2 linked regions of the Lytechinus pictus genome follow. The protein of the gene in region 1 interacts with the protein of each later gene in a pairwise test. Links are inferred from orthologs where the notes say so. Each region holds a gene or a part of one and is shown in the gene's direction. Other genes may lie near its edges. The genes, in order: Golgi to ER traffic protein 4 homolog B-like and ATPase ASNA1 homolog.

The links.
Region 2: the proteins of Golgi to ER traffic protein 4 homolog B-like (region 1) and ATPase ASNA1 homolog interact in a two-hybrid assay, tested with the Caenorhabditis elegans proteins (2 studies listed by BioGRID). The link is inferred for Lytechinus pictus from reciprocal best matches to the Caenorhabditis elegans genes cee-1 and asna-1.

The regions. Positions count from the first base shown.
Region 1 is NC_087254.1:10,474,889-10,482,912, reverse strand, and holds the start of Golgi to ER traffic protein 4 homolog B-like, read left to right. Parts: upstream 1-4,778; 5' UTR 4,779-4,946; intron 4,947-8,024.
Region 2 is NC_087255.1:4,858,795-4,866,682, reverse strand, and holds the start of ATPase ASNA1 homolog, read left to right. Parts: upstream 1-4,738; coding exon 4,739-4,866; intron 4,867-7,888. UniProt on the Caenorhabditis elegans protein: ATPase required for the post-translational delivery of tail-anchored (TA) proteins to the endoplasmic reticulum. Recognizes and selectively binds the transmembrane domain of TA proteins in the cytosol.

The DNA.
Region 1 (8,024 bases):
TGTTCCCAATTCTGCTCATTTGGAGACGTTATAAAAGAGGTATTTGACATTGAAATCAGTTATAGTCATGTATTGATTTGCCTTTGTTTTATTTCCATTTACACAGTAAAAACAAAAATAAATGCATCCATTCACTCATAAAAAATAAATATGAACATGAAAATATATGCGACAGTAACATGATATATCACTAGATATGGGGAAAATCACTCACTCACTGGCAGGAATGTCAGAAGGTTGAGGAAATTGAAATTGGAAAAAGATAGGCGGATGAATTAGGGATCGGGTACATAGGATAGAAAGGGGGTGGTAATAACCAGAGGAATGTGTAAGCCCCTGCTTACACATTCCTCTGGTTATATGGATATAATTCCTGAAACTTAGACATAGCTAGGCCTTTTCCAGTGGGGGGGGGGGATGTGGAGGACCTTGATTACCGACAGATATCAGCAACGATTACTGACGACCGACGACCAAAACTCATTTATATCCAACCAAGGATTTTCAAGTGGGACATTTTTGTTTACAAAAATTTTCACAAGCCCCACCCCCAAAAAAGTCTTTACTTTCACTGACACGTGCCTAACAATTTACACTAAAATAATATTAAAATAATAATTGCGAGCGCGAAGCGCGAGCTGATTTTTTTTTTGAAAATCTAAACCTAAAACGATAAATTTTGTGCACTTAATTATAAATAGGATGGGTATCTTCCTTAATAAATTATGCGAGCGCAAAGCTCGAGCTAAAAATTTTGATATTTCTAACAGGACCCTATATAGACATTCTAAGCAGTTTTACAGGATGGATATCTAAACGGTCGTGCGGGCGCGAAGCGCGAGCTGAAAATTTGAGATATTCCCCCCTGAAAACTTGACATTCTAAGCACCTTTTTTTTCTAACTATGAACAACATGGTAGTTAAAAACAATTAATTGGTGTGAGCGCGAAGCGCGAGCTGAAAATTTTTGATATTTCGGACTGAAAACTTTACATCCCTTCATTTAATTATGAACAAGATGGAATTTTATGCGAGTGCGAAGCTCGAGCTGAAATTTTTGATATTCTAAGCAATATCTGTAACCGTGAACAAATTGGTTTCTATGATATATTGTTGATATTTTTTTATATTTTGACCTGAAAACCGGACATTCTAAGCACTTAATTTAACTATGAAGAGGATGGTTATACCTAAACAGTTACATGAGAGCACGAAGCGCGAGCTGAAATATTTAAAATTCCGGCCTAAGAACTGGATATTATAAGCACTTTTTGTAACTGTGAACAAATTGCTTTCTAACTAATCAATTGACGCGAGCACGAAGTGCGAGCTGAAAATGTTTGATATTTCAACCTGAAAACTAGACATTTATCTAAGGTATCCAACTAAAAAATTGATACGAGCGCGTAGCGCGAGCGAATTTTTTATTGTTATAATTATATTACCTAAAAGTTGTTATCTACATTTTTCCTGTCCCTGGTCAGCCCAGTCCGTCCTCACTATCGGTACAGAGAGCTCTAAAAGTCGCATTGCGTAAAAATCACAATTTACCGATAAAAGTGTACAGTTTAATTGACATTTACCGACAAAGATGGTGGAAGTAAAAAACCGAATCAGTTGGAACAGCCCCGTGTGCCCGACAATTATCATTTTTTCCGACAGTCTGCAGTCGAGTTTTTGTTTTCCCTTTCTCTTAAACTCTTTCTTCTTTTGCCCCTTCCCCTTTTTTTCTTTCTCTCCTTTTTCCTTCTTTTCTTTCCCTTTTTTCGCTTCCTTTTTTTTGCTTGTGACTCGTCAGGGGGGGGGGGGCAGTCTACCCCCTCTGCCCCCCCTTAGGTACGCTAGTGACTAGTACTACTAGTATTGTTCGATCTCTGTGAATGATTTTTTTTTTTTCTTTTTTTTTCGGGGTGGGGGTACGTGGGCCAGACATAATGGCGTTCAAGAGCAAAATTAATTTTTTTTCAAATCAGTGAGTGAGCAAAGCAAGTGAGCATAAATTTAGATTCTTTGAATAAAAAGTATGATTTTGTGTTATAGATTATGACATGATTAAAATCATATTTTACACTCCCCCGATTTTTAATTTTTTTTCTCCGGCCGTGAAACTTTTTTTGAGGTTTAGCTAGCTAGGGTCCCGGCCCGAGGCGCCGATCCTGGGGGGGGGGGGCACTAATGAAAATATTGGGGTGACAAGCTAGCATATCGTTTTGCCCTAATAATTCCGTAAGTGCAAAAATAAAATTAAATTGTAATGTTAACACAGAAATCAGCAACATTAACCGAGCACAATATAAAATTTAGATTTATTACATCTATAGATCTAGTACAGTACAAAATCATGAGTCTGCGCGGGAAATGATTCCATCTATCATTGCAAGTTTTGTTAAGGTATAAGCCCTACATTTACGCAGGAATCTCATCATATAGGCCTAGAATACTTTTCTGCACTAGCGTACCTACGGGGGGGGCAGAGGGGGCAGACTGCCCCCTGACGAGTCACAACCCATGCAAGGGACATATCCCTGCCTCCCCTGACGAGTCTTGAAGACCTTTTTTTTTTTTTGCTTGTCAAATTTTTTTCTGGTACGAAATCCTTTATTTGTGGTTGAAGACCCTTTTTTTTTTTTTTTTTTTTATTTGCCCCCCCCCTGTGGAAAAAAAATAATGGCAAGCCCCTCTTTTCATAGGTTCATATGTAGATCAAGGTGAGTTATGTATCTCTCTAAATTAATTCTAACAAACTACTTTTAAAAAAACTTTACCTTGACAGTTGATAAAAAATTTCGGCTCGAGATTTGCGCTCGCATCAATAAAGTCCTTAAAATTTCCAGTTTTCAGGCCTTAATATCAACAAATTTCACGCTCTCATTAGGCTTATAAAAAATGATTGGATTAGATCAAAATAACACTAATCATATCAGCTCGCGCCTCGTGCTCATACCATTAATTCATTGGGATCCATTTCCACTTCACAATTTCCCTACATCACACGTGCTTGAAATATTGCATAAATTGACCCTTCTTCAGATCCAGATCAGAATAATTATAATTTTTTTCAGCTAGCGCTTCGCGCTCGCATTAATGACTTTCATGATAAAAGAAATGTATTTAGAATGCCCAGAATCCAGGTATTAATGTAGGAAGATACCAAATTACCCACCCTTTTCATGATTTCCAAAACATTATTGGAGTGTCCCATGTTTAGGTCTAACTGTCAATTTCCCCCCGCTAAGTTGCGCTTCGTGATTGCATCAATTATTTAGTTATATAGCTATCTTGTTCATGATTTTTAAAAAAATGCCAAGAATTTCCAGTTTTTAGGTCGGAATGACAAAAATTTTCTGCTCGCGCTCGCATTATTTGATTGTTGAATCATGTTTTATCTTCATGGGTCCAGAAACGTGTGTGTGTGTGTGTGAGTTTTATTGTTTTGTGCGATCAAGCGCCTTTATTAATTTTGTAATGTTGATTTATGACTCATGATTTTGCCCCCCGCCATCTGAAAAATGGATTGAGGCCCCTGCCCCCGGCCAAGCCTCTACGCAAGTGGGAAGCCCGGGTGGGAAGGGGGTGTATAGCAGTTGAGACCAAATAGTGTATAATGTTTATTTCTACTTTATTTCTGTTTATTTCTACAACAAGTCTATAGGTACTGCATAAGGACTAGGTGAATAATTAATGTGAGCTCGAAGCGCGACCTGATTTTTTTTTAATTGACGTAATTATAATTTGCCATTTTGGGGATTCTTATCAGTTTTAATTGTTATTTCCCTTGTCTACCCTCTTAGATAGATTCATTAGCGACCATCCGATTTCCTATATTGTATTACTGAACATTTTTTTACTAAGTGCCCATTCTTAGCTCCTTATTTTTATGATTAAAGCCAACTTCTGCAGTATGTCCCTTTAAGTCCCATATATGCCCCTATCTACATTGATAAATAATAATACTTATTAATTATATGGCGCTTTTCCCATAAGGCCAAAATGGCCAAAATTGCTTACAATGGAAATACTTGAAATAAACCATGAAGCTATTATAGCGCCGTGAATAAATTATATAATGCTAAAAAAAACTATATATGAAACTACAAACTACGAGAGAGAAACGCCCCTAATTTTCTTTTCTTGTTTGTTACAGGGCAATTCAATTAAGCACACGTATACTATTTTTTAATTCTACATGGGCAGTATACGTGGAACCGGGGGTCAGGGGGCATGGGCACTTGCCCCTAAAAATCCCATATGCAGGGATTTTTTTTAAAAGTGAATGTGCCTATTGCGAAATAAATCTTTTTAAATCATTTTCGTTCCTGAAGTTGTTATGAAATACCGGTATTTCCTTCTTTTTACATCGTGTACATTGGGCCTATTAAGTGTCCGTTTAGTGTCCGCCCTATACTCCCAAACGAAATACGTTCCGCTCTGCCCATATCCCACATGCTCCTACATTACAACAAAATAATATGCTGACTCATTTAGAGTGGGGCATGATTTTTTTTTTTTTTAAGATAGTGCCCCGATAGTACCCGTTTCAAAAGGGGAAGTGTCCCGAAGTGTCCCCATTTCCCCCAAAGTCCTCCCAGCCCTCCCACTTTCAACATCGCCTTTCCGCCCCAGGCCCAGTATGGTGAGCGTTTCAGGAGCAAGCCTTGGGAAATTCCCTAAAACCGTAAACTGAATAACCAGTCGTAAATATGCGTAGATCTATATACTGCATCATGTAAATACTGAGTCGATATTTCTTCAGCTAAATATACGGCCTGTCATCAAGTCTATATGGCTTACGCGTTACGCCTATGGTCTAATACGTGGTGCATTTTTGGAAGGGTCTCGAAATTCCACCGGATGTCTTCTTCGATTATTTCAAGAATTTTTAAAGACTGTGAGAGAACATTTCATATTTTTACCTGGTCCCGCGGAGTCAACAACGTGTTGTAAATGTGAGTTCAGTCTGGTTTTGCTCAAACTCAGCTTAGGATCTTCAAACTAAAGTAAAAAATACAATCGTGTTCGTCATGTTCGTGTGCAATTTTTTGTGCACACAATTAAGCTGGGAATATCACAATACCGTGATACAAGTATTCAGATAGCACACGAGCAAAATGACCACTGACTAACGTGCTGTATTTTATTCGGGTTGGGAACTTAGTTCCTGTGCAATGCAATTCAAACCATCATATCAAAGAGGGGGGGTTTGAGCCTGCACCGCCATGACCGCACGCTGCCTGCGGTGTGCCTGAGGCGCTGAGCTACGCTGCGCTGCAGCAATAAAATTATTTTTTAAAAACAATTTAAAAAACGTGGATGTGGAAGTGCCTGGCCTGGAACTGGTTGCATGAGTCCACCACATATCGACCACCTCTTTTGAAACCAACCACCCTGCACACATTAAGATTATTACAAACAACACGCTTGGGATGGTAGGCGAATATTGATTTCATAAATAAATATTAAAAATGTTTAAATAGTCTAAAAACTGACATACTTCAGTCTACTGAAGCTTTTTGACATGCACTCATGGGCCTGGGAGTAAAATCGCATGAATGACCAGAACGCTAGAGCAAAACAATATATAACTTTAATATAAGAAAACCGAAAGAGCAATGGACGCTAAAAAAAAGCCTTAACAACTTGTTCATTGAATGAGTGAGCTGTGTCTGTGACTTGGCTGTCATTAGCTCGTCGTTCAGCGTCCACTGTCTCTTCGGAAGTTCGGTTCTATTATCAAACTACAATGAATGATACTATAAAATACCAACAGAATTATTATATTGTTTCATCTAGTTTTTTATGAAATTTGCTCAAATAATGGTGAAAGTATTCAAAATTGTTAAAGGGGAATGAAACCCTTGGAATAAGTGGGCTTGTGTGGAAAGAGAAAAATCAAAGAAAGTTTGAGAAAAATCGGACAAATAATAAGAAAGTTATGAGCATTTGAATATTGCGATCACTAATGCTACGGAGATCCTCCTATTGGCAATGCGACAGATATGTGTGATGTCACATGTGAAAAACTTTCCCTTTGATGGACTATAAAAATACCCCAAAAATGTATCTTTTTGCTCTTATGGTGATACAAACCCTTCATCCATAATATATTCTTTGAAAATCTGTATTACAAGCCCCATAGAAAGAATTAATGATCTACTGATAGATGTCATAAAATAGGCATTTTAAGTGAAATATATACAAAAGCAGTGGGAAAGTTGTTCACATGTGATATCACACATCTTTGTCGCATTGCCAATGGGAGGATATACATTACAATAATGATCTAAACTTCAAATGCTCATAACTTTCTTATTATTCATTCAATTATTCTCAAACGTTTGTTGATCTGTTTCTTTGATTTTTCTGTTTTCACACAAGCTATCTTGTTCCAAAGGTTTCATTTTCCTTGAAGATTATGATATGTGCTTAGTTTCACTCCAGCTGACGAAGTAGCAAAGTACAAGAACACAAACCTTTTTTTGTCTTGATTCTGTTGATTTCAATTTCGGTCTCATAATCTCATTCTTAACACCAGAAGCCAGCATATGCTGACCTGTCAGGATTTTCCTGCTTCTTAACTTTCGAAATGTTAAAAAAATCATATATGAAAACAAGAATGTCAGAAAAATCTCCTTGGACCATTCATGCCTCCAAGTCCTCAATATACTGTATCTTAACTCTTCATGCATTCCGTTTGCATTATTGCACGTCTGTAGGCGTGTTATATATTTCGCATTTCTGCACAACCGCGCATTCCCCTAATGATGCCTCTATGTCCAGGTAAATTGTAGTTTTCAGAGTTTTGTTCTGTTTTATATACATTTGCTTTCAAAACCACTTAGTGGGAGATTAATCAGATTATCTACCTTCTTTACATGTTAAATAAATCAATATATCCTTCAGCTGACCCAGGAAGTTCATTGAAAAAAGGAGAGAAAAGAATCAATTATATCCTCCTCACAAACAATACCAAGGTCAGGTTCATTGTTATTAGGAGTTAGGACTAGATCATGACACCTGTATGAAAGAGGTGCTTTTTTTTCTTTGACTAGTCGAAGATCTACTCTCTTTTATTTATTCACAGTAGTATGGTCTACTTTTGTCAGATTACCAATGATATTAGAATCATGTCTGTGATAGACTGCCCAGGTGAATACAAAAATAGAATCACGCCACTGACCCAAGAACCAAAATAAAGGGCTACACTTTTGTTGAAAATGTAAGAAGAAAATGTTTTTAAAAAATTATTTGCAATGCTTTATTTCTTTCGTAATGCAATAAATTCATACATGACAAGAAAACCCACCAAACACTACAAGTTTGCCTCACAACATTTCCTTTCTAAATGTTCAGATAAAAGTTATAGCTGTTTAACTAACAGAGTATTATACCAGGTAGAACGGTTCACTGCTAAAATAATGCAACATATAGAGGGTTTACAGGTCAATGCACGATGAGTTTAATAGCTCCGTAGTTTAAGGGTTGAAGTTATTAAAATACAGTGCGTATAAAAAAAAACGGGACAGTTTTGAAAAGTCTATAAAAATTTTGTTTAAAATCATATCTATATTTTGATGTTAATAGATGCTCTGATATCTTATCTTTGAAATGCAATTAAAAAAAATATATTTTGTTTATGCTTGAGCGAACATGGGACGTTTTTGTCGGGGGTTCAAAAAAGAGGCTTGCGCCAAAATCGCAGGAATGAGAAATTTGATGATTAGACTTTTGGCCAATAAGCAGACCTCCTCTTAATCTTTTCATTATCTTTGCCATAATTTTCAAATTATGCTGTCAAATTTCATTTACAAATTTCTTTATTTACCTTAATTTTTTTTTCATTCAAACTTCTTTTACCTTTGAATTTTTCTTAATAAGTAAGAAAAGAAGACTTTTTGTCAACCCAAGTAAGAAGATTTGCATTATTAATTGGGAGAATTCGCAATTATTCAAATCCTTTTATTATATGAAACAAATTATGTTATGGTACCTGTAAAAGACACGAATCCTATTTTCAAGGGGTCATT
Region 2 (7,888 bases), on another chromosome or scaffold:
GAATAATCTTGATTATAGAACCGTGCGTTTTATTCCATCTCTTCCTCCCTAAATAAAATGAAAGATTTTTTTTTCTTTTTCCGTAAAAATGTCTTTTTGGGGGACTGTCATCAGAAAAGAAACATAATTCAATTTTGAAAATTCATAAATTCTCAAAAAAAAATTCACCATGATCGTAAGATCTCTTTGCTTCCACCAAACAATAAGTCTTTTAATTTTACTCAAGATTTCCTAATAGTTCAACATGGCCCTGGGAGGCGGAGGTGAGGGTATAATGAATCACCCCCAAAATTTTCGTTGGGGGTGCTGCGCTGCGTGTGTTATTTTCCACAGGCAGCATCCCCTGGAAATCTGGTAGGTATGATAAATAACAGAAAAGTAATGAAAATGAACGAATTTTTGTAGGACCCCCCCCCCCCTCCTCCCCTCCCCCCCCCCCCCACTTTAGAATTTTTCCACACAGCTATTGCTTGAAATAGTGCTCAAATTCACCCCTTTTCAGATCGGAATTTAAAATGTTTTCAGCTCGCGATTCGCGCTCGCATATTTTCATAACAAAAATGCATTTAGCTCGCATCAATTTTGTACTATATAGTTACATGATTAGGAAGTCCCTTTTTTAGGTCTGAAATCTCAATTTTGTTTCCGCTTGCGCTTGCATCAATTGCATAGCTATATACCTATCCTGTTTATGATTTTTTTAAGTGCTTAGAATGTCCAGATTTTAGGTCGGAATGTCACAAATATCAGCTCGCGCTCGAATTATTTGATTGTTGAAATATGTATCGTCTCCAAGGGTAACTGCAAACGGTCCTTAAAACATGTCCCTTTTCGATCAGGCCAGAACGTATAGGCCTATTAAAATTTCTGCTCGCGCTGATCGCACCCGCAGTAATTATTTGTTGCATATTTAGGATCACAAACATATTTATATTGCTCAAAGTGTTCAATTTTCAGGACAAAGTACATGAAATTACCAAACTTTTTAGCTCGCGCTTCGCGCTCGCACTATATGTTCTTTTATAATAAGATTAAGAACTGTCTGTCATGTATATTTTATTCATATTTATATTCATATATATATGTATATATAATATATATATATGTGTGTGTGTGTAGGGGTGGCCTTGCATGTGTGTGTATATAAAAGAACAATGGATAACTCAATTGTGCCCCCCACCTTTGAGGAGAGATTTCAGCCCAAGTCAGCACCAGCCCACTGAAAAAAAAATCATTTCCATGCAGGACCCTGTAGTTCAAGTCATCTTCAATGATCGAAATATATACGATTTTAATATGTTGTAACCAATTATTGACCGGTATAATATATTTTCATTTCTTTCCTCCATATTTTCAACTTGATCGAGTACATGCATGAGGTCATTGTATACGGAACATAGCAAGCTTGAAACAATAATAACTATATATATAGGCCTATATGTCTGAAACTTTAGGGGAAGTACCCGTAAGTTGGTTTTAATCAGGGGCGGATCCAGGATTTTTTTAAAGGGTGGCACATTTTCTCCGAGGAAAAATTTGACAAGCAAAAAAAAAAAAAAGGTCTTCACTTTCGAAAGGGGGCACACTTCTGTTTTAACGGCATTTTTACATTACAAATTTTAATTGTGCCTCTCAAGGGGCCGGGGGTGCGTCGGGCCGGCTGTGCCCCCCCCCCCCCCCTGTATCCGCCAGTAGTTTTAAGAGTAAAATATTGGTAGGCCTAATTAAAGGTCTGATGAAAATCCACATACTGGCAAAAATAACTGAGAAAAATCTTTATTTTCAAAGGACAAATCCACGTACCCCAACAAAAAGTTGATTTGAATAAAAATTAAGAGACAAATCCAACAAGCATATAGCACGGAAACTTTAATGAATCGGTTGTAAAATAATAAAAAAATTATGACATTATTTAGTTTTGCTTAATTTCACAAAACATTTGCACATATCGTAAATGAGGAGACTGATGATGTCATAAATCACTAACAATTTCTTTTGTATTTTATTATGAAATTGTCTAATTTTCTCCTGCATTAATTGTCAAGTGAAACAACATCCTCCCTGAACTTGTGGAATTATATATGGTTCAGTCATGGTTGTCAAATATTTAACAAATGAAATTTATTGTATATAATTCAAACAATAAAAAAAAGAAATATTGGGTGAAGGACATCATCGACTGTCTCATTTGAATGTCACTGAATTGTGCATTATCACTGTTTCGTTAAAAATAGGACTTAAAAATAACTTATTTTACATCCGATTTTCTGCGTTATGCAAATTTTATTTTTCTCTATAATTTATTCAAATCAACATTTTCTGGGTGGACTTGACCTTTAAACGACACAACGGCCCCTCGATCGATCCACTTTTTATATTCTGAGGTATATAATGCCTATATAGCTATTCCTAAAAAAAAAATTGCATTGGATATAGGCGCCTATATCAGGGCACGCCATTTCATGCACTTTCTGGCTTAAGAAAAATATTTGTATCATCGAATAAAGGATTTATGAAATACGGGGAAGTTACTCACAAATGACATATCCATTAAAAAACTTCAAAATTTCACATCTCTCATGTTGATGTATTTCAGAGCAGGGGGGGGGGGGGGTAATCGGTTTCAATTCCAGTATAGCGCGATAGAGCGCGCGGTATGGAATTTCGATCCTTCAAAAAGTTCAAACTTTTTTCAATTCAATTCAACATTTATTTCTAAAGATAAAGCATTAATACAATTTAAAAAATTTAACAACACAATGGAGGTAGAGCAACTCTGTAAGAAGTGCTAATTGTGACGAGTATACCGGTATACGTGCACCGTTATAAAGTGATATTTAAAAAAGAAGCTTTTCCATATTGTACAAACAATGGACAACTTTTTTTTTAAAGTAAATAGATTCTTTTCTCTTTACATCAAATCTTTTTTCTTAAATATAGTTGATATATATACATATTCTATATGTCAAAAATATAGGTCAATTATTTCGTTGATATTCTGATCAGACTCCTCGACCCCCGCCCCCCTCGATCCCCGAGAATTATTAAACAGCAACAACGACAATCAAGTCGACCATACAGTACAGCATTGCATATGCAGTATAAATAACAACGTCAACATCAACGAACGTAGAGGGCAGCAACACACAAGCGTGTTGCTATTAGGAAGGTCCACTCGATACGCGCATACAAATGAAGTGCGCGAGCAATTTGGTAGTCATGCCAACGAAACCATGATCCGATGCAATACACTCACGGAGTGACAGCAAAATATAGGTAAACTAATAGATTATGACAATAGTAGATTGAAACAATGAAAACAAAAAATATATAAAAAATTAAATAATAATGTACCAAATTCTTAAAATAATATATCACTAAATTATTGTCACAATTTTTTTGTACATCTTCAGTAAAACAGGATTAAGTTCTGTCATAAATAAACCAGTCTGCTAATTTCACCCGGATTTAGCCAAGTCATTTTGTGACCACCGAAAACCTCTCAGAGCACTTTTTTAGTAGATTGTAGAGTTGATTTATTTTCATTTCCTCTTTATCATTATTTTTGCTTGAAATGTTTTTACATTAAATATCATGCTTAAAAATATGAAATACTTGTTCCTGTATTTTTCATAAAATATTACATGGTGGTGACAACAGTTTTATGACTTTGCATATCAATATAATAACAAGTATACGTGAGGTTGAAACGTCTTCATCTAAATTTCGCTGCACCATAATGCGCCTACACAATCCAGTACCGCCTCTTATACAAGCGCCATGGCTGGCATGACCGCGCCGGCGCCCCAGGCCGGTCGGTGCATAGGTAGGGTACGGTGGGCTGCATGCATATGCTAACACAATTTTTTGTAAAATTATGAAATGAAAAAAGTAGATGTGACATAGACCTTCGCCCCTTGATAGTTCGTCTCAAGTCAAGACCCGTCGGAATATACATAGCTCGATAATGAACCAGATAATTGCTGTCTAATATTATGTCTAACGTTAGACTGGGTCTGGGACTTGGCTTTGCTGTTTAGTGGTCGTATTCGATCTTGCCTGATGGATTGCAAAATGTGGGTTGGATTTGTGGATATAGCATAATTATTTTAGATTTTCAGACTACAATCTACACTCTAAGTGAAAATTAAAATTCCAGCCTTGAATATTTATCGTTGCTCATCCGCCATAGTGCCACATCAATGACAGACCAAGTCTATATCTTTCAAGTCCATATCTAGCTAAGTCGAGTCGCGTCGAGATTATCATGCCAGTGCAGTGCAGTCAGCATTATCATTCACGCAGCGCAGTACGCGCACCGAGGTACAGGTGACCGGGGAAGTTTCGGCGCGGCCAGACATCACGGTCTTGGCTCTGGCGTTAGCTTGTGTAGATTTGGTAGGGGCAGCGAAATTAAGCAGAAGAACGGTAACACAAATGTCATCAGTCTATGTATTTTTATTGCCATGTAAACTACAAGAATTATGATTACCTTTTGTTTTACAATTTTTAAAAAATACAAATATGCTAAAAATATATTATTTAACATATTTTCTTGGAGGTTTTATTATCAATAATAAATAGTAAAATTGAACAAACGAAAAAAAATCAACTCTACAATCTTCCAAAAAAGTGCTCTGGGAGAAAATGGTCACAAAATCTGAGCGGAGTGGACCTTCCTAAAAGCAATACTGCAAAGTGTTGCTGCCCTCTACGTTCGTTGGTCAACATTATCAACATGGCCACTTCCATGCCAGATGAAGATCTCGAAACAATGGAACCTTCTATCCGAAATATAATTGACCAAAAATCACTGAAGTGGGTCTTTGTTGGTGGAAAAGGAGGTGTTGGCAAAACAACATGCAGGTGATGTATTTTCCAAGATTATTTCAAGTATTAATGACTCGAATTTTCGTCATGAATTAATCAATTTACCAGCTAAGCCAGGCAGCGCTCCCCATGACAGAGCACAACCGGCCAGCCACCCCGGCCCGTGCAGCCGACGGTCCACGGCCGCTGCTCGCTCGGAAATGAATGGTAGGTCTGCGCTAGCCCACCCATGGCATGGCCATGGGTTCTTTTCATCTCGCTTCTCGCGTGCGAAGGAATATCATATGCACGCGACACATGCGAATATCATGGGCTTTTGCCCAAATAAAATATAATGAAACACTCAAGTTAGGATTTCACATTTTTTTTGTGCTATGGCCTATGCTGACACTTACCGAACCATTTACTCCTTTGGTGACTTCTCTTTGAAGTTCGTTTAGTTAAAAAAAAATGTATTTTATCTTGATCTTCAGTGAAGATTTCACGGAGATGCCCTCTTCGGCTTCGGTCAGCGACGAAATCAATTTTTGGCCTAAAGAGGGTGCGCGATTTATATTCATAATATCAAAGACACGACAAGAGAAAGACTAGGCACCTAAACTATTTTACATGCAAATCGACGCAAGGCATTACCGTAATCATGCCAGTGCTCGGACGGGTAAAGGTTTTTGATGACTTACATGTAGTGGTCTCAATGTAGATGATCAATAAAGCCTTAAAGGAGTGGATGAGCTTATTATTAATTGTTTGCTTTTATTTAAATTATGATCTTAGTGATTCAAATTATAAGGGGGGCTTCATTGTTATTTGTTTTTATTTCATTTCTTATTGAATAAATTATTCATAGTGATTGAAATGATAAGGGGGGGGGGGGCTCTTTTTTATTTATAATAATTTTTATTCTTATCTTAGTGATTAATGATAAAAGGGGAGAAACATGGCTTGTTACATGTAATTCCGTATTTAAAAAAAATCTCATTCTTATAGAGATTGAATTCAATAATAGCATTGCTTTATTCTTTGTTGCTTTTTATCTTAATTTTCATTTATATGTTGTGATTGCATGGAATGATAAAAGGGCTCGGCGGGGCTTCTTGTTTGTTTATTTGTTTTCTAATTCATTTTTATTTTAGTGATTAAAATGGTAAAACTAAAGGGGAGGGTAGGCAGAAAACTAAAGGGGAGGGTAGGCAGATTTTTTTTAATTTTTTTTTTATTGATTAAAAAGGTTAATGATTTTTATTTTAGTGATGAAAATTATCATAGGCGGCGGAAGCGGGGGGGGGGGGACCTGTCCCCCCCCCCTGAATTTGACGATCCCCCCTAAATTTTTTGTTTGTCAAAAAATGTTGGTGGTCCCCCCTAAATTTTGTGGCTTCCACCGCCAATGAAAATCGTTGGTATAAGGGATGTAGGGACAGTGATTTTCCGTTTCAAAAAATTGCCTTTTCCGTTTCAGAAAATCTCAAATTCCGTTTCAGCATGTCAGAAAACGGAAATTCAGTTTCCCCATAGACTTTGTACACACGGAAAAGTGACAATTCCGTTTACACATTGAATAGCAAAATCACAACACGTGCACTCGCACTTGTCAAAATTTGTATCTGCTACTGTACCAACAACACAATAGAATCCGTTCTAATCGGATCTATGCGGGTGCATAAAATATTTTTACAAACCCATTTAGCATGCATACATCCTCACCTTTCACATTATTAGCATTATTTCACGGTGAAATGATATTTCATTGATAATTTTGGGGTTTTTTGGACATCGTTATCGTCAGTCAGCGGCTTTTGCCAATCCGCCATCTTGGATTTTAAGACCACGATATCGTGCTGTTACATCTTCAAAACGTAGAGGGCAGCAACACACGACCGTGTAGTTGAACGATGTGTGCATGTGAAGCCAAACCCGGCCGGCCGGCCGGATACGGGTACAAGTGTGGGGTACAATCGAGTGTGCTGATGTCGAGTGCAGTCACGACGTGTGAATTGTCATGATATTAGCGAAGTGAGATCGTGTTTTCTAGGGTTTTGTTGCCATTTAATATTCTCATTTTGTTGTGATTTTGGAGTAATTTCTGTTGCTATCAGTCAGTCCGCAAGCCCTGAAAAAGTAGCTTCCTTTATCCAAGTGATATTCATGACAAGAGGGTTTTTGCATAGTTAATGAGCTTGGTGCGAACCAAAACACCTCTTTTTATTCGGCCATTGCTGCTCTAAATATTGACCAAATTTCATGTTTTTGGTATCTTTGTAAAGAAGAAGAATCATTCTTTCAGGTCATGTGTTTGGATTTTTAAAAGAATGTTGTAATATAGGAAAAACTTTTGATCTAAAACATGAAACAAAATATTTTTTTTCATGCAACAAAAGTTGTTGTTTTCACACTTAATTTCTGTTTAGGCACAAATGATTTTTAAATCATGATAAAGCTGAAGATCTAAGCTTTAATATGATATAATTTTCATAAGAAGATGTATTTTAGATGGGTCAGCAGCCAGCTTTTCATAGGCCAAGTACATTTTGCAGCTCAAAAACAAGAATACTGCGCTCTGATTGGTCATAGACCACACACCCACGCAAATTCCAATGTTCCCCACACTGGGCCTCTGCAAGGTCACACTCACCATGTGGTAATCTCTTCAAATTACCCGCGCCTGTTTGTTTTGAAAACAGTATTCAGCCAATCAGAACTCTGGATTTTATGTTACTCAGAAATTTCAGAAATCTCGTCTTGCATCTTGATGGAAATAACTGGCTGCTGACCTATCTAAAAGATGCCACATATCAAGAGTGACATTGTAAGAAAGTATAGAGTTTGAGCTTTCTGATGATATAAATAATGTTGGTGCCTAAAACACAAAAATGTTGCACAATTTGCAAGTGAAAACAGAGGAAGAAAATTCTGTTTGATGCATCTTTTCAGGTAAAAAATTCACTTATTTATCAAAATATTTCATTCAAAAGAAATGACCAATATAAAAGGGTAACATTTACTCTTGCCCATGGTACAAAAATAATCAATATTACTCAAGGAGAAAGTGGTTAAATTC